Bombyx mori: one gene and its partner. The protein of the gene in region 1 interacts with the protein of each later gene in a biochemical or structural test. Links are inferred from orthologs where the notes say so. Each region holds a gene or a part of one and is shown on either strand. Other genes may lie near its edges.

What was found.
Region 2: the proteins of peroxisomal biogenesis factor 19 (region 1) and ATP-binding cassette sub-family D member 3 form a complex in vitro, tested with the Homo sapiens proteins (4 studies listed by BioGRID and IntAct, with this or other methods). The link is inferred for Bombyx mori from reciprocal best matches to the Homo sapiens genes PEX19 and ABCD3.

Annotation. Positions count from the first base shown.
Region 1 is NC_085129.1:20,647,021-20,654,976, reverse strand, and holds the start of peroxisomal biogenesis factor 19, read right to left. Parts: upstream 4,260-7,956; 5' UTR 4,086-4,259; coding exon 4,022-4,085; intron 2,955-4,021; coding exon 2,787-2,954; intron 43-2,786; coding exon 1-42. Other genes in the region: uncharacterized protein LOC101735788, read left to right, coding at 5,096-5,115, 5,591-5,713. UniProt on the Homo sapiens protein: Necessary for early peroxisomal biogenesis. Acts both as a cytosolic chaperone and as an import receptor for peroxisomal membrane proteins (PMPs).
Region 2 is NC_085128.1:3,706,633-3,714,808, forward strand, and holds the start of ATP-binding cassette sub-family D member 3, read right to left. Parts: upstream 5,329-8,176; 5' UTR 5,168-5,328; coding exon 5,061-5,167; intron 5,005-5,060; exon of another isoform or gene 4,894-5,004; intron 3,963-4,893; coding exon 3,708-3,962; intron 3,580-3,707; exon of another isoform or gene 3,436-3,579; intron 3,164-3,435; exon of another isoform or gene 2,902-3,163; intron 1,617-2,901; coding exon 1,547-1,616; intron 1-1,546. Other genes in the region: heat shock protein 68, read right to left, coding at 6,414-8,176. UniProt on the Homo sapiens protein: Broad substrate specificity ATP-dependent transporter of the ATP-binding cassette (ABC) family that catalyzes the transport of long-chain fatty acids (LCFA)-CoA, dicarboxylic acids-CoA, long-branched-chain fatty acids-CoA and bile acids from the cytosol to the peroxisome lumen for beta-oxydation.

The DNA of each region.
Region 1 (7,956 bases):
TGTTGAAAGTTAATGCAATTTGTTCTTGTGTTATCTGATCCTCTGAAAACGAAAGATTGACATTCGATAAATACAAGACTATACAACTATTTCGTCCAATGCATGAACATTATATGGAACTCTTTCTGTCAGCTTTAAGCTTGAAGAGAACTTGGTTGTTCTTCTATCTGATTATGGGCTCTGTAACTATAGGGGCTTTATGGGGAATTAAGAGTTCGATTCTAGAGGGGACTGAGAAATGGTTATCATATCCCAGGAGGTGAGCAAGTGCATATCGGCGGGAGAAAGGGAAATGTCGTCACTTGCATTTTGGGCTAAACGACTTTGTACCTTATCATATAACACATATGGCTCTAGTACAAAATTGGTCTTTTCAAGTTACAACAATTCCGCTTTCTTCCTTCGATATGTATATAATGATATCGAGTACTTCAGAGTGAAGTTTGAAGTCGTCGTGGCCTAAAGGATAAGACGTCCGGTGCATTCGTGTTGAGCGATACACCGGTGTTCGAATTCCAGGCGGGTAGCAATTTTTCTAATGAAATACGTACTCAACAAATGTTCACAATTGACTTCCACGGTTAAGGCATAACATCGTGTAATAAAAATCAAACCCGCAAAATTATAATTTGCGTAATTACTGGTGGTATGACCTCTTGTGAGTCCGCACGGGTAGGTACCACCACCCTGCCTATTTCTGCCGTGAAGCAGTAATGCGTTTCGGTTTGAAGGGTGGGGCAGCCGTTATAACTATACTCGAGACCTTAGAACTTACATCTCAAGATAGGGTGGTGATACCTACCCGTGCGGACTCACAAGAGGTCCTACCACCAGTAAATAGATAAAAGACTTAATTGCGTGTTCTGTTATATGTATAATAAGATAAGAGCATTTAAAAGTCTTGATCTCTTTTAAAATCAATATTAAAAATTAAACAGTATTAATAAGCTATACAAAATTTTTAAGTCCTCCCTTTTTACTTAATCACAGACTTCACTCCATAACAATGGATGTCAATGAAGAAAACTCATTTTTAAAAACTATAGAGTTTTAAATAAGAAAGGTTTTTCTTCATATATGTATAGTAAGTAATACACGGCACAAGACACTACTGCATTTTAACCCTGAAGATCCCAATCATTGTAATAAGACAATTTTATTAAATTACTAGCTTTTGCACGCGACTCCGTTCGCGTGGAATAGTTACTTTGGCATATCACTAAATTTTACCCCCACTTCATTTACGTAGAAAGTGAAAATATTTTTGAATTATAGAATGTTAAGGAGCTATAAGCCCCTATTTTGAAACATTCTTTATTGGTGCTCCACTTGTATCGGCCTTACCGTGATGTTATGTAGCCTATAACCTTCCTCAATAAATGCGTTATGTAACACTGAAAGATTTTTTCAAATCAGACCAGTAGTTCCTGAGATTAACGCGTTCAAACAAACAAACTCTTCAGCTTGATAATATTAGTACAGATTGTATTATCATTGGTCCTTGATAAGTGTGTGATGTTTTAATTAAATTGGATACTTTAAAATCGGTGAATATCACATAAAAAATATATCATATACATACTATGGTATGCCAATTAAAGTGTGTCAAAATAAGCCGCAGATTTAATGTTGATAATAATCTGATTGATTAATTAGGTACTTGTTTGCCTTGTTTGGCTTCAGCTACAACATTCCTTTCATGAAATCCTCAACTTAACGACCTTTTTCCTCCCAAATTCTATTCACTTTTTTTTTAAGATAGGCATTATCCATCCTACATAAACCTAAGCCATTCTGCTGACAAATTTCTGTGGCAAGGGATCTCTCAAGGGTGGATCAGCCATTACAACTGAGGCTTGGAAGATGTCTCAATGTGAGTGGTTGAAATTATTGTTTTTTTTTATTGCTTAGATGGGTGGACGAACTCACAGCCCACCTGGTGTTAAGTGGTTACTGGAGCCCATAGACATCTACAACGTAAAATGCGCCACCCACCTTGAGATATAAGTTCTAAGGTCTCAAGTATAGTTATAACGGCTGCCCTACCCTTCAAACCGAAACGCATTACTGCTTCACGGCAGAAATAGGCAGGGCGGTGGTACCTACCCGCGCGGACTCACAAGAGGTCCTACCACCAGTAAAAATTGTGTATGTGGTTTATTATTTGTTGTTCGTATTCACGGGATATTTTCATTCCGAATATACAAAAGACAAACACTCCATTTCAACAATACATATTATTATACTTAATGTGTACAATATTAAAACATAAACCAAAAGTAAAGTAAGCAACGCTAGGCACTGGAAGATACGAATTAAAATTAAAATTACGTTTTTACATTCAACTTAAATCGACGCGCGCGCGAATCTTGCTGCATGACGTCACGGGACACCTGCGCGTTCAGGAGCTCCGATCGCGTCCGATGACGCCCGAGTGCGACCGAATGTTGCACGCTACATATATGAAGCAGTGTTTCCACAACGAGGGGACATTCCCCATTTGAGGGGAAATTAGGGTCCATAGGAGGAGAAAAAGAGAAGACATCAAAAGGGGAAATTGCGGGAAATCATGGGTAAAATCTAAAATCGATAAAGACCTTTTTTTAGTTACTACACTAGGGCCAAAAGTAAAAACTACAGCAGAAACATTTTTGAGGAGAAAAAGCCCTGAGAAGGGGAAATTTGAATTGAGGTGTGGGGAAAGAAAATCATTAAAGTGGAAACACTGATATGAAGTCCACTAGCCACTTGAAGCTAGATGGAACCTGGCGCACTAATTGACGTACCTGGCACTCCACTGAAACTGCCTAGGATAGCTGCCATGTTGCTCTCAAACTGAGCAGCTGCTTCTTTGATAAATTCCTCGCCCCACATGTTCTGCATTGCTTCGCCACCATCAGGAGTGGTATCGTTTGGCTTATCATCTTTCTTCTTTGTCATATCCTGAAGTGCACCTGGAATAAATTTACACCCTGAGTGACAGTTTTTTAGTATGACTTTCTGTGACTATTAATCTATTGAGGCCAGGTTGGTTAGAGTGATATTTTGTTAGTTATATTTTCTAGATTATGAAAATACCGAAAAACTAATAATATGTAGCAGTTTTATCTTTTAGATATATGTAAATCTAATTTTTAAAATAAAAATTTAAATGTTAAGAGTATAACCAAAAATGAATCAGGTAAAAGATACACTGACAGAAGAACAACTCCTCCCTATGGCATGCCACAATAGATATGTCACTTGAGTAAATAACCCATAGAGTTGACAACAGGCCGGTGTTGTAAAACTCACACCAAAATCCTATGCAGCATGATAGGAGGATATGTGCCAGTCTCCATTACATGGGTTGAAGGCAAGCGGAAGACAGTTTGATAGAGTGGTAGGTTAGGTTTTTTTTTCATTGCTTAGCGGGTGGACAAGCTCACAGCCCACCTGGCCACCTGGCCCTTCATGGCAGATATAGGCGGGGTGGTGATACCTACCCATGCGGATGATGATCATCATTATCAAATTAGGAAATATCATGAATCATGATATTTCCTAATTTTAGAGGATGAAGAGAAGATAGTAAAGTGAGAGCAGCGTGCAATGACCATGAGGTCCAGTAATCAAGTGTACTCATCTTAAGCAGTACAAAACAGCAATAAGCTAGCTATTAATAAAATTTAACAAAAAAATTGTCATTTGATGAATAAATGAAAACTAATGATAGTGTTAATTAATTATGCTCAACATTATTTTATCTTGATTACGTCTAATCAACATTGCTAAACGCAATAAGAAAAAATACGGAACCTTTTTTTTTGAGTTTGAGGATTTATCGTCAGTTTTACATTTTAAAATTAAAAACTTTCATACGCGATTACTTAAATAGAATAAAGAAATATTAAAGATGTTGATAACTGACAAAGAAGACATTAACAGAGAAAACAAACAAAATTAGCATGCACTTAGACCGTAGGTTATTGTGTAATGGAAAATCAACACGATGAAATGTAATCAAGATTTAACAACTTACTGTTCAATAAATCGTCTAATTCAGGATCTTGATCGTTTTTGGATGCGTTCTTATTGTCAGACATGTTTAATCGGTAATAATTAAAATAAATTCAATAGAAAATTGGTTCAGAAAAATTTTCACGTTGAGTGACAAATTTGACAATAGAAATTTCAAAGGTTGAAATGAGCATGAATTTTGAGTGATCGAACTAGCTCATAGATTATACACTTATGAACTATAGCTAATGAATGGGTTTTTTCCCTGTGAAAAGACAATAAAGGCGTTTTGAAAAGGTTTCGGCACTAAGAAACAGATCGATTTTAAGTGAATTTACTACAAAATCTTCGCTGACCAGTAGAAATGAAATACAATTTTAATAAAAAAATATGTATTTTACTCTATACATGAAAATAAAATTAATGAATATCGATGATTAAATTTCGATAAAACGGTGCATTTCCAATAGACATTGCAAAAGCAAAACGTTTGACTCATTCATTTGTTTGTTGTCTTTCTATCATACGTAATGACTATAAGACAAAAAGAGACAAAAAATATTTCTAAGATTATTTCGTTGACCTTGAAGCATGGAGTTAATAAGTACCTACAACAGTAACTCTATGCCTTGAAGTCATATGACTTCACTGAAGGTAACTAATTTAAGCGGGAATTTTAAAACCCGAACCATGAGTTTCTTAGGTTACATTAAAAAATCTATAATATTTAAAATATTGTTTGATTGTAATACATAATTCTATTTTCATTTTTTTTTGCTTTTGTTGTCTTGGAATACTTACCCTAAGCTTTTCGGTATTTCGATCTCTCATTCGAAATAAAATAAATGGAAATGAGACAAATATTTAACAAACTGGCTTGAATAAAAAAAAAACTTAGTTCGAAAAGTGACATATGTTTTGAAACTTCAAAGCCATTCAAATCGGCCATGGTATACGAAATGTGGTAGTTTCATAAAAAAATAAATAAAAAGTGACAAAAAAATCGCAAAAACGTTGTTTAATCACAAAAAACAAGGAATATCAAGATAATTACAAATTTACGTATGCTCTTGAAAAAGTCGTGATTTTTACGAAAATGTCCAATAAAAAATCTCAGTAAGTTACAAAATATTTAAGTAGTCAACTCAAGGGACCGGTAGTTGGCACTTGGTTAATTTTTTCCAATTTTGTTTTTTTTAAAACGGAATAGCACACGGTGAAGTGTTATGTAGCCGATAAATGAAACAAAATAGAGCTCGCAAAATTTACACATTTGTACAATTACTACTGGTAGAAGCTTCTTGTCCATGTATGTGCACGTGGTTAGGTACCAAATCCACCGTATTTCGGCAGCGAAGCGAAGCGACCATTTTGTTGTTACAAAATTTGTTTAAACAATGCAACTCAGATTTTGACTTTGGGTTTCAAGGTTCCAAGATGGCATTCATCTTGTTCTATAAGCTCTGGTCATTTAACAATGGGCCGTGAGCTCTTCCATCATTCTAGTCCAACAAAAAACCTCAAATACTGGCAAACATCTACGAAAACAGGATACTTAAAACTTCTTATTTTTAAATTCACCTCCCACCAGGGCGCCAGCAGGTGGAGACGCTCCTCCACCAGTCGACAGAAAGAAGGACGATAAGAAAAAGGGAAAGGAAGAACCGCCAGAGCCGGAAGAAATACCGAAGACACCATCGCAAATCGATAGAGAGTAAGGTTTTTTTTTTAAAGTTTAGAAATGAAAAGGTTAGAAGTAAAGAGAACCATCTCAGTGTATTAAAAAGTGTCCGCTGAAAAGGAGCCAATTGCGGTGCGCCACAGTAGCAAGTGGAAGGATTTTAAAAACAGCGCCTTAAACTACCACACTTCATTTCAACCCAGCAAACTTTACTCTGTTTAAAACTGCTATATTCATATCATTTCCACTTCGTACACTAGCGCTATTTCGGTGAGTCTTCCAACAATAATTTGCTGTGTACTGGCGGACCCTTTTTCAACTTGTCCCTTAAATAAGATAGTACCTCTATCTATCATCCACAGTACCAACAAAGCGATCACCAACTAAATATCGACGTATGGTCAAGAAGGGAGATAATAATTGTCATATCTCAATGTTTTTTTTTTCTGCTTAATTATTGCGGGGCTATTCCAACTAGGCGCGGTGCGGGAGTTTTTTTTTACTGAATGATAAGTACCTCGCTGTAAAAGAGACAATGTTTTTGTTGCTCCGAATTTTGCTTTCAACTGTGGTTTGGTCGTCTTCCTTTGCGATGCGGCTTAGTAAGACCTAGAATTTGGTTTAGTGTAGGAAAGAGGTGATATTTTACCCTACCTATTCGCTGGTAGCCCAGCGGGCTATTCCAATTACGCCCGGACGGGTAAGGTGAGCTCACGGGCTCAACCTGAGAGAGGTTGCTAACACTACCTAGTAAGTACCTACCTAGTAACCCTAGTAAGAGCAGTGATTCGCAGAATCTACTACTGGAATCGCGACCCGCTGAAGTTAAGGGTGTCTCTAGTCCGTGTAGCATTCGTGTGCCATAATTACCCTAGCGCCCTCAAGCAAGCGCGCGGTTAATATGGAATAGGTAAGAATTTAAGGGGTTCTTTGAGAGTACGGAGGCCGGCATTCCCTAACAACGCTGCGCCCACACCCTGCACCATGGGTAAGCCGCCTCTGCTATAACAAAATAAAAAAGAATGCTCACCCGTCAATGTATAGCGTTTTGAAAGTTGGGCTCTATGAGCCTGACAAAAAGTCGTCGTGGCCTAAAGGATAAGACGTCCGATGCATTCGTATCTAGCGATACAACGGCGTTCGAATCCCGCTGGCGGGTACTAATTTTTCGAATGAAATACGTACTTTACAAATGTTCACGATTGACTTCCACGGTGAAGGAACATCGTGTAGTAAAAAGCAAACCCGCAAAATTATAATTTGCATAATTACTGGTGGTAAGACCTCTTGTGAGTCCGCACGGGTAGGTACCACCACCCCGCCTATTTCTGCCGTGAAGTAGTAATGCGTTTCGGTTTGAAGGGTGCGGTTAGGTTGTAGATGTTTATGGGCTCCAGTAGCCACTTAACAACCAGGTGGGCTGTGAGCTCGTCCACACATCTAAACGATAAAAAAAATAGCATCCAAGAATTTTGACGTAGACACATAACTACATTTCGTTTTCCATTGTTGCCTTTGTGTTTGTGGACCCATCCGCTTCGTGTCAGGGCTGAACGGGCTGGCGCACGTAAAAACCCAATAATGCTTATGACGCATGATTACAAAAACCTTGGTCGTGTTATTGTTGTGTTTTTTTAAAGTATCCATCATTTCGCAGCCTTGCTGTTACATCATCTGTGACCTAAAACCCGGTATGTTGTAAGCATGGAGTTAATAAGTACCTACAACTGGAGTGCTGTCTAATGCCGAGAAATCGGTCTCGAAAGAGAATACTTTTTGGTCGCGGTGTCCTTGTCTAATGTGGTGACCATATAAAATTTATTTATAGGACAAAATTATACGCATGCATCAGTTTTGAATTTACCTTAAGTAATTCTGTGTAGTCCTATGTAAATACAAAACACGTGCTTGCAACAGTTTATTTATGTAAATTCAATTTTAAACATTGCTTCGTCGTCATGGTGACTTTTTTTCGACGCTTTTTTTTGGAAATTGCTGCGATGTCGAAAATCTAGCACTGAGTTTTGTTACAAACATCATTACCTCAGTTCTATTACTTAAACTTCTTCAAACTCATGTTTAACGTCCGAATACTCAACCGCGACTTGAATATTATGTTGAACTTAATTACGCAATTCCTACTTTAATGTACTGGCTAAGTGGGCCGTGCAAATTAATATTTGACTCACTGAGTGAGACACAACACACATGGTCTGCGCGTATCGGGTGCTCTTTTCCTACATTCACATCTTCAATTGATTTAAAATTGCTTGTAT
Region 2 (8,176 bases), on another chromosome or scaffold:
TCAAGATTTTTGTCCCTCTTGAATTGGGTTGCCTTTTCAATAAAAGGTAGCCAATTCACGTCCCTGGTGTTACATTTCCTGGTTGTGCTCGCCTTAGGCATGTTTCTTGACCCTTCCTTCGTTAGAGTAAGCATGATACAGTTGTGACCGGAGCAGTAAGCGACGTGGACCACACTGCTAAGCACCCCATCTTCTCTCACAATCTGAAACGTTGGTACGCCACCGCAGCCGAGCATCCCCAACCGACTGTGACTGCGGGATGGTGTGCCACGCTGTCCACTGTGGTCGCCCTCAGCAATAAGCCGTCGCAGCTCTGGCTAGCGCATCCCACTTCCGTCGCACTGGGCACTCATCGCTAAAAGCGTTGTGCTCGGCGTTTCCCACCTTAGCGGATGCGCAGTTTCTACATGTAGGGGCTGCACCGGCACACCACTCCGGGCACTCGGTCTTCTTGTGTGGACCTGCACAATGGCTGCATGTCTCTTTCTCTTCCCTGCAGAAGCGTCTGGTGTGACCGTACCCCAGACACTGGGAGCACTGAACCAGTGGAGATTTGTCCGACACATGAATCCTCTGCATGTCAATCTGGACCGTTCCTTTCTCCACAAGCCTGCCCCACAGCCTCGGGGAGACTTTTAGGACTATATGGTTTGTGATGGCGTTCCTTGATTTTCTTTTATATTTTACTACCATCCTGTCCTCATCTTCTGTCAGCCCCTCAAAGATCTTCTGGTTCTGCTTCCTCAGCGCCCCCACCACCTCTTCTTCTGTGTTGTAAGCAAGGACGTCCTTCAGAATAACCAGCGGATCCTTGTTTTTAATTTCTTCCGCTTGTAATAACCCTCCCGCTTTGTCCAGCCTATCTTTTACTTTCTTCCTGTCCGCTTCACTCCTACATCCTATAATCACTTTCCGGTCCCTGGCTTTCCGAACTCTATCTATCATCACTCCCCCCTCTTTGGCGTTTATGACTTCCCTTATTTTGTTTAAGACTTCCTCCCCTGACTCTTGTTCGTCACTGGAGGTGACTATGACCGAGTGCAACGTTTTCATTTCTTCAATGTTTCCCTTTTTTGGGCCCGCCGCTACACTCGCGTATGTTGCCCCTTCCAGCGTTTTCTTATGTTCAGTCAACATTCCTTTTAATTCTTCCATTTTTTCGTTATTTTCTTTGACTAGTCTTGTATGTTCTTCCATCCTTTTAGTCAGTTCATGGCAGTGTGTCGGGGAGGGGATGGGAGGGGTCAGGGGGTGTAAAGAGCCCGTCTCACCCGTCCCTACTCCTTTCTCCTCCTCTTTCTTTCCTCTTTTTTGATTTTCCAATTCTTTATCCAAAGTTTTGACTATTTGGTACAGTCTATCGATTGTATTCAAGACTCCGTCCTTTATGTCCGTCGCTGCCATTCCGGTGTGATTCAACCCTAACAGTACAGTATACATGCGTAGGTATATCAGTCTCTGATTCCCATAAGGAGTCCTAGTTTGGGCCTAGACGACTGTGTGTGACTTGTTCCCGGTTATTATTTTAATAGAAAAAATTGCTTACCAGTGGCATTGATCCGAAGAACTGGATTAACAGCCTCTTGAACTCCTTGTGGTTCATTGTGATAATTGACCTGTACAATGAATAATTTATTTTCTATCTGTAAGTATTAAAATTGTGAAACACTAAAATTACCAAAAAGGATATTTTTTGTGATTTTACAAAATTTCATGACAATAGGGTTAGCATAAAAGAATTTACTAAACATATTTTTATTGCCATGCTTATTGCCATTATTGTCGTCCCATACTCCTGGTGCCAGCGCGCTAGAGTGATGGTAGCGTGCGGCGCAGCCTCAACCCCTCAGTCGCCCCGTGACCATCACCTGGAGGACACTGCTTCCTCACAGGGGTCAGAACTGGACGAACGTCCTCCTCCGACCTCCGGCTCGGCGGCGGGGGCACGGCGCCGAGAAAGAAGAAGAGCTCTCCCTCCCTGGTTCCGCCGCCTCCTTCTGCGAGATGGTGAACTCGCAGAAGTCGAGCATCGCCTGCCAGGACTCATCGCTGCCGAGCATTGTAGCCACGACGTTCGGAAGCGACAAGTCCGGTCCTATTTTTGCAACGAGGACGCGGCGCTGCTCCGCGAAAACAGGGTAGTACGCGAGCGTGTGCGCCACCGTGACCTCGTTACAGCCACTGCAGCACTTTGGCGTCGGCTCCCTCCGGGCGACGAGGTGCGGGTAGCGACCGAAACAGACGTGTCCCGTAAGAATCTGCGTCGCTCGGAAGGTGAGACTTCCTTGGTCACCCAGTCCGAGAGGACAGGGCGGATCGCCTCGAGGGCCGTCGCCCGTAGGCAGGGTCCGCCAACAGCGAGACTACGCCTCGAGCACGGCACGAGATTACAGCTTCTGCGCTTGAACTTCTGCGATGCCGGGCCGCGTCTCCCCTCTGGAGCGGAGGCCGCATGGCCACGCGTAATCCGCAGCGAGCGCCTCCGCTTCCAGGTCATGCTAAGGGCTCAGTCAACATTCTGCTGACCATTGGGTTTATTTTCAAACAGCATTTGATATATAATATATGCTGATATTTAGTATTTAATGTAGCTGACATATAAAATAGATATCCTTGAAGTTATAATTTATTTTAAAATAAACCAAGAGTTTTGCATGCATTTCCATAAACTAGTCATGACTCATGAATTATTTATGTGAAAAGGAATCAAATCTCTTTTTAAATATACACACTAACCATTAAGCACCAAGAAGGTCAAAGTACATTAAATACTTGAAAATAATTTAAACCAGTCAACAAAAGCAACAATAATTAAAATTCTTTGTTTTACAGGGTTTTCAAGTTAATTTACATTATTTTTTGTTGTATTTACTTCAACTATACAGTTTAAAGTCTCAGTATAATGCATACTAATATAAAGCAGTAATTATCACCAAAGTACAACAAATCGTGATAAAACTAGATTTTTATTTAAAATTAATTCTAGGAATCTAGAGTGGATGAACTGCCTTATTGGAATTAAAATTATAAATACAGTGCAACCTAACAATACAATACATAACAAATCGGAAGGGAACAAGTGAATACTCGTTATATCAAGTAATTTGGTAAACTGAGGTTTGTTTGATTAGGGTTAGGTTGGTCTACCATTTGTTATAACGAGGTAAGTAAAAAAAATTTTTTATTCACCTCATCATTAAACTCATCTTGTTATAGCAAACAACTTCTACTAATAAATGAAAACACATTTTTATGAAATTACTATATATATTTTATATTTCAAAACAATTAGGTAGGTAACAATTTTTCTCAAACGCAATGAGACTGATTGACATAGTACTATGGGATTTAGGGTCATATTGGTGGGACCGTTATATAAAGTTTTTGGGTTGACAAAATTCATTAATTAGAGGTATTTACATCTTTTTTTTATAGTTGAAAATCTTTGAAAATTTAGTTGAATAAAGAGGTTGTTCGCAAGAAATCTTCGCAATGTGAAGGTATATTTTACATCAACTCTTATGGACAATTCAGCGGGTTAAGAAAAATTTGTTAAATCGAGGACATTATTATATTCAGGTTTGTTATATTAAGGTTGCACTGTACTTAGTTGTAAAGGAAGTTTGTCAAAAATGCTAGTCATATTCAGTGTTTATTTTAAAATGATTTAATTCATAATAATTAATAAGACTATAGTTTCAACTCACCCTTCAATCAAAGTAGTCTGCTGTATTAGCCACAGATCACACATGGATCTGGATATTAGAGAGATGGCTATCAACGACATGAAGGCACTTTCTTTGGTCCACCAGCCTGGCATCATAATCTTCCATAGTGTTTTAAATTCTGCTAAAAATCTAGCATCAACTTGTGCTTTTGGCCCCTTTTTGTCTTTTTCTTTGATCATGTACTGAATCTGCTCTTCGGGTGAAAGACGGCCGGGTTTGTCATATCTTGATTTTCTAAAAAATATTTATTAAGTTAATAAGTCAGTTAAGTTTTGTTTCCAAGCATGCTTTATATGAATTATAAACTCTTAAATATTCTACAACTGTGAGAATGTACTTGTTTTTATTCAAATAGTCCTAACATAATTTCCAAACATATGCCTGTTTTATTTTATGTGAATGAGGTATTTATAGATAAAAGGATGTTGTTTCTCAGTTTCTTTTTTCTTATTGCTTATTGGACAAGCTCGCACCCCATTGGGTGTTAAGTGGTTACCAGAGTTCATAGACATCTACAATGTCAATGCTGCACCAGTCTTAAGACGAGTTATAAGGTCGTTTTTGCAGTACAACAGCTGCACCACCCTTCAAACTGAAATGCATTACTGCTTCACAGCAGAAATAGGAAGGGTGGTGATACCTACCTGTGCAGTCTAACAAGATTTCCTACCATCAGTAAAAACACTGTGAAGCATTGCTCTTGTTAAGGCTAATGTTAGCTATTCTTTGAGGTTGACTCTGTCAACTCACTTGCTCAGAGTGTAACTGGAATAGCCTCATAGGCTCCTCATAGGCTCATACCAGTGATTAAGCAGGGGAAAAATCAATTACCTATAATAATTCTATCATATAATAAAACTGATACAGAGAGAGTATAACAATTAAATGCACACTGCTAACCAAGGTTTATTTTTTATTTTTCCTGTATCATCTCATAAATATACTCAAATTCTCTCTGTAATGCGGATTCTAGACCAGATGTATATTCAAGAATTGAATTATTTCAGAAAATACAAAGATCTATATTGTAAAGTTATTGTACTGACCACTCTATTGTATTATGACTATTGTAAAATTATTTGGGTGATAATAAGATATTAATAGATTTAAACATATTAGTAAACTTAGTCTTTTTACCACGTTTTAATTTTTATCTCACTTCTAGGTCAAATTCCAACTTTATCATGATTAGCGCAAAACGTTTTAATTGGTCAAAAGGAAATTCAACATATAAATCTGAAAATTTTACACGCTTAATTGGGACTCAGAGTTTCAGGTATAGTATAAACAACTAAAGCAATGGAAAATTGTTCAAGAGGCCAGTAAACTCACCTTGACTTAAAGGAGTTCCGGATAATCCAAGCACCAAGAGCTGCGGAGACAGCAATACCGACTTTAACGTCTGTCCGTTGCGTTAATTTACTTAAATTCGGTGCCATAATTATTAGTTAAATAAATACATTGATTAACACACAGCACAACATTAACTAAACTTTTATTCTTGAAAATGGAAAGACAACACACGCACTATGCAACAATCTAGCACATAAACTAAATCATATATTATGTGTATAATCTATGCTCCATATATAATGTCCTAAGTCCTAATGTCAACCTTAGCTTCTTGTACTTTATTTTTTGGCTCCGGCACAGTTTGTGCATTAGCCAGTGTCAAGTAATAAAATATTTAAAATTCGCCGTTTCAATTAATTACAGTTTATGAATAATAATAAAACGAAGGAAAGTAATCGCAACATAACATAAATGATTAAAAACGAATTAAATTTACAAATGAGATGATATGTGATGAAATATAATCTCAGTAAAATTATGGTTATTTATTAAGACATTATCAGTGTACTTTTTGGAGGATCCCGAGAAGTTACGTCCAGCGGCTTTGTTTCATTTTCCCACAATTATGCACTTTCACAGATTCTAAGCAGTTAATAAAGCACCGTTATTACACATTTAAACCTGAAGAAGCACTAAATAGACAAAATAAAACAATTCACACAACTTCACTCCTTGCGTTCCCGCCACTTGGTTAGATAAACAGCAACTTGGCTGTGTCCCTGGCGTTGCTGACGTCCATGAGCGGCGGTGACCATTCACCATTAGTTGGCCTAAAGGTCTAGATACCAGGCCATAAACTCCAATTTAAAAAAAAAAAAATCACCATTAGTGGGGCCTTATATTATCTGTCTACATTCGCAATAGAAAATCTCATTACTTCTATTTATTCAATTTATGTACGATTTAAGAGATGGCGTAATTTTTCATTTGTCCCAAGACGGCATTTAAACTAAGTTCGATTTTTAATAGGGAAGTCTATTGATTTTGAGAGGATGTGATTTTTAGTAAACGATTAGTTTATTATCTTTAATTTACCTATCGTATAAAGTTGCATTCGGCTCTATGTAACTACCCTTTGATATACAACTGTTTTGTGGCAAATAAATTATTTTCATTGTACAATTTAGAACTATTTTAATATACAAAATTATCAATAAAAAACAACTTCAAAAGTTAAAATCTATTTATTTTTTGTTGCAGTCCATGAACACAATGTTTGAAACTAAAAACATAACATAAATTCTAATATTTACAATTAACTTAAATCATTGACTAGGAACTTAAAGCATATAATACTGAAATCAGTCTGAACTTCATTCGTCATTTTAATATTTAATCAACTTCTTCAACCGTTGGCCCTGAACGATTGGGCTGTGAATACTGTTGACTACCCGTAGCGTGGATCTTGCTCATGACTGGTGAACAAACTTGCTGAAGATCCTTTAGTTTCTGCTGAAATTCATCTTTTTCAGCTAGCGTGTTATTGTCCAACCATCGCAGGGCGGCCTCGCAATCGTTTCTTACGCTCTCTTTGTCTTGTGCGCTCAGTTTGTCACCGGCATCATCAACGGCTTGTTTAACGTTGAAAATGTAAGTTTCCAATTGATTGCGTGCTGCTACCCTTTCTCTTTGTCGATCATCTTCTTCCTTATAGCGTTCGGCTTCTGCTACCATACGGTCGATTTCAGCTTGAGATAATCGTCCCTTATCATTTTTAATAACGATGTTTTTACTGCGGCCAGTGCCGTTTTCTTTAGCGGAGACATTTAAGATCCCGTTGGCGTCGATATCGAATGTCACGTCGATCTTTGGGACCCCCCGTGGTGCAGGTGGAATTCCAGTTAGATCGAAGCGACCCAACATATTGTTGTCCTTGGTCATGGCCCGTTCGCCCTCGTACACTTGTATTGTGACTGCTGGTTGGCTGTCAGAATATGTCGTGAATGTCTGTGATTGCTTGCATGGAATTTTAGCGTTGCGTTCAATGATCTTTGTCATTACACCACCGGCAGTTTCAATGCCCAAAGATAAGGGAGCGACGTCAACCAAAAGAACATCTTGAATTTTACTGTGTTGCTCTCCACTCAAAATTGCTGCTTGTACAGCAGCTCCGTATGCTACCGCTTCATCCGGATTGATTGAAAGATTTAGTTTCTTTCCACAGAAGAAGTTTTGTAACATGCTCTGTATTTTTGGAATGCGTGTCGATCCTCCAACGAGAACTACGTCGTGAATAGAGCTTTTATCTAGTTTCGCATCTTTCAGAGCTTTCTCGACAGGTTCCAGTGTTCCTCGGAACAGATCAGCATTTAATTCTTCAAAACGTGCACGAGATACTCTAGTGTAGAAATCAATGCCTTCGTACAAAGCATCTATTTCAATGGTAGCTTCCGTGCTCGATGATAATGTTCGTTTCGCCCGTTCAGCTGCAGTCCGAAGCCGGCGAAGAGCGCGAGGATTGCTGGTTATATCTCTCTTGTATTTCCGTTTAAACTCTTCAGCTAGGTGGTTCACCAATCTATTATCAAAATCTTCACCGCCTAGATGAGTATCGCCTGCAGTGGCTTTTACCTCAAATAATGAACCTTCATCAATGGTCAGTATGGAAACATCGAATGTTCCACCACCGAGGTCGAAAATAAGAACGTTTCGTTCGCCTTTTAAATTTTTATCCAATCCATAAGCGAGTGCTGCTGCTGTCGGTTCATTTATAATACGAAGCACATTCAGACCAGCGATAGCTCCAGCGTCTTTTGTGGCCTGACGCTGTGAATCGTTAAAATAAGCAGGAACGGTGATGACTGCATCTCGTATTGCTGTTCCAAGATATGCTTCAGCGGTCTCTCTCATTTTTATTAACACCATACTGCTGATTTCCTCAGGTGCAAAACGTTTTGTTTCGCCTTTGAATTCTATCTGGATTTTGGGCTTTCCACAATCACTTATCACTTTGAATGGCCAATGTTTCAGGTCTTGTTGTATCTTGGCATCATCAAACTTGCGACCGATTAGTCTTTTCGCATCGAACACCGTATTACTAGGGTTGAGTGCTACTTGATTTTTAGCAGCATCACCAATGAGTCTCTCTGTGTCCG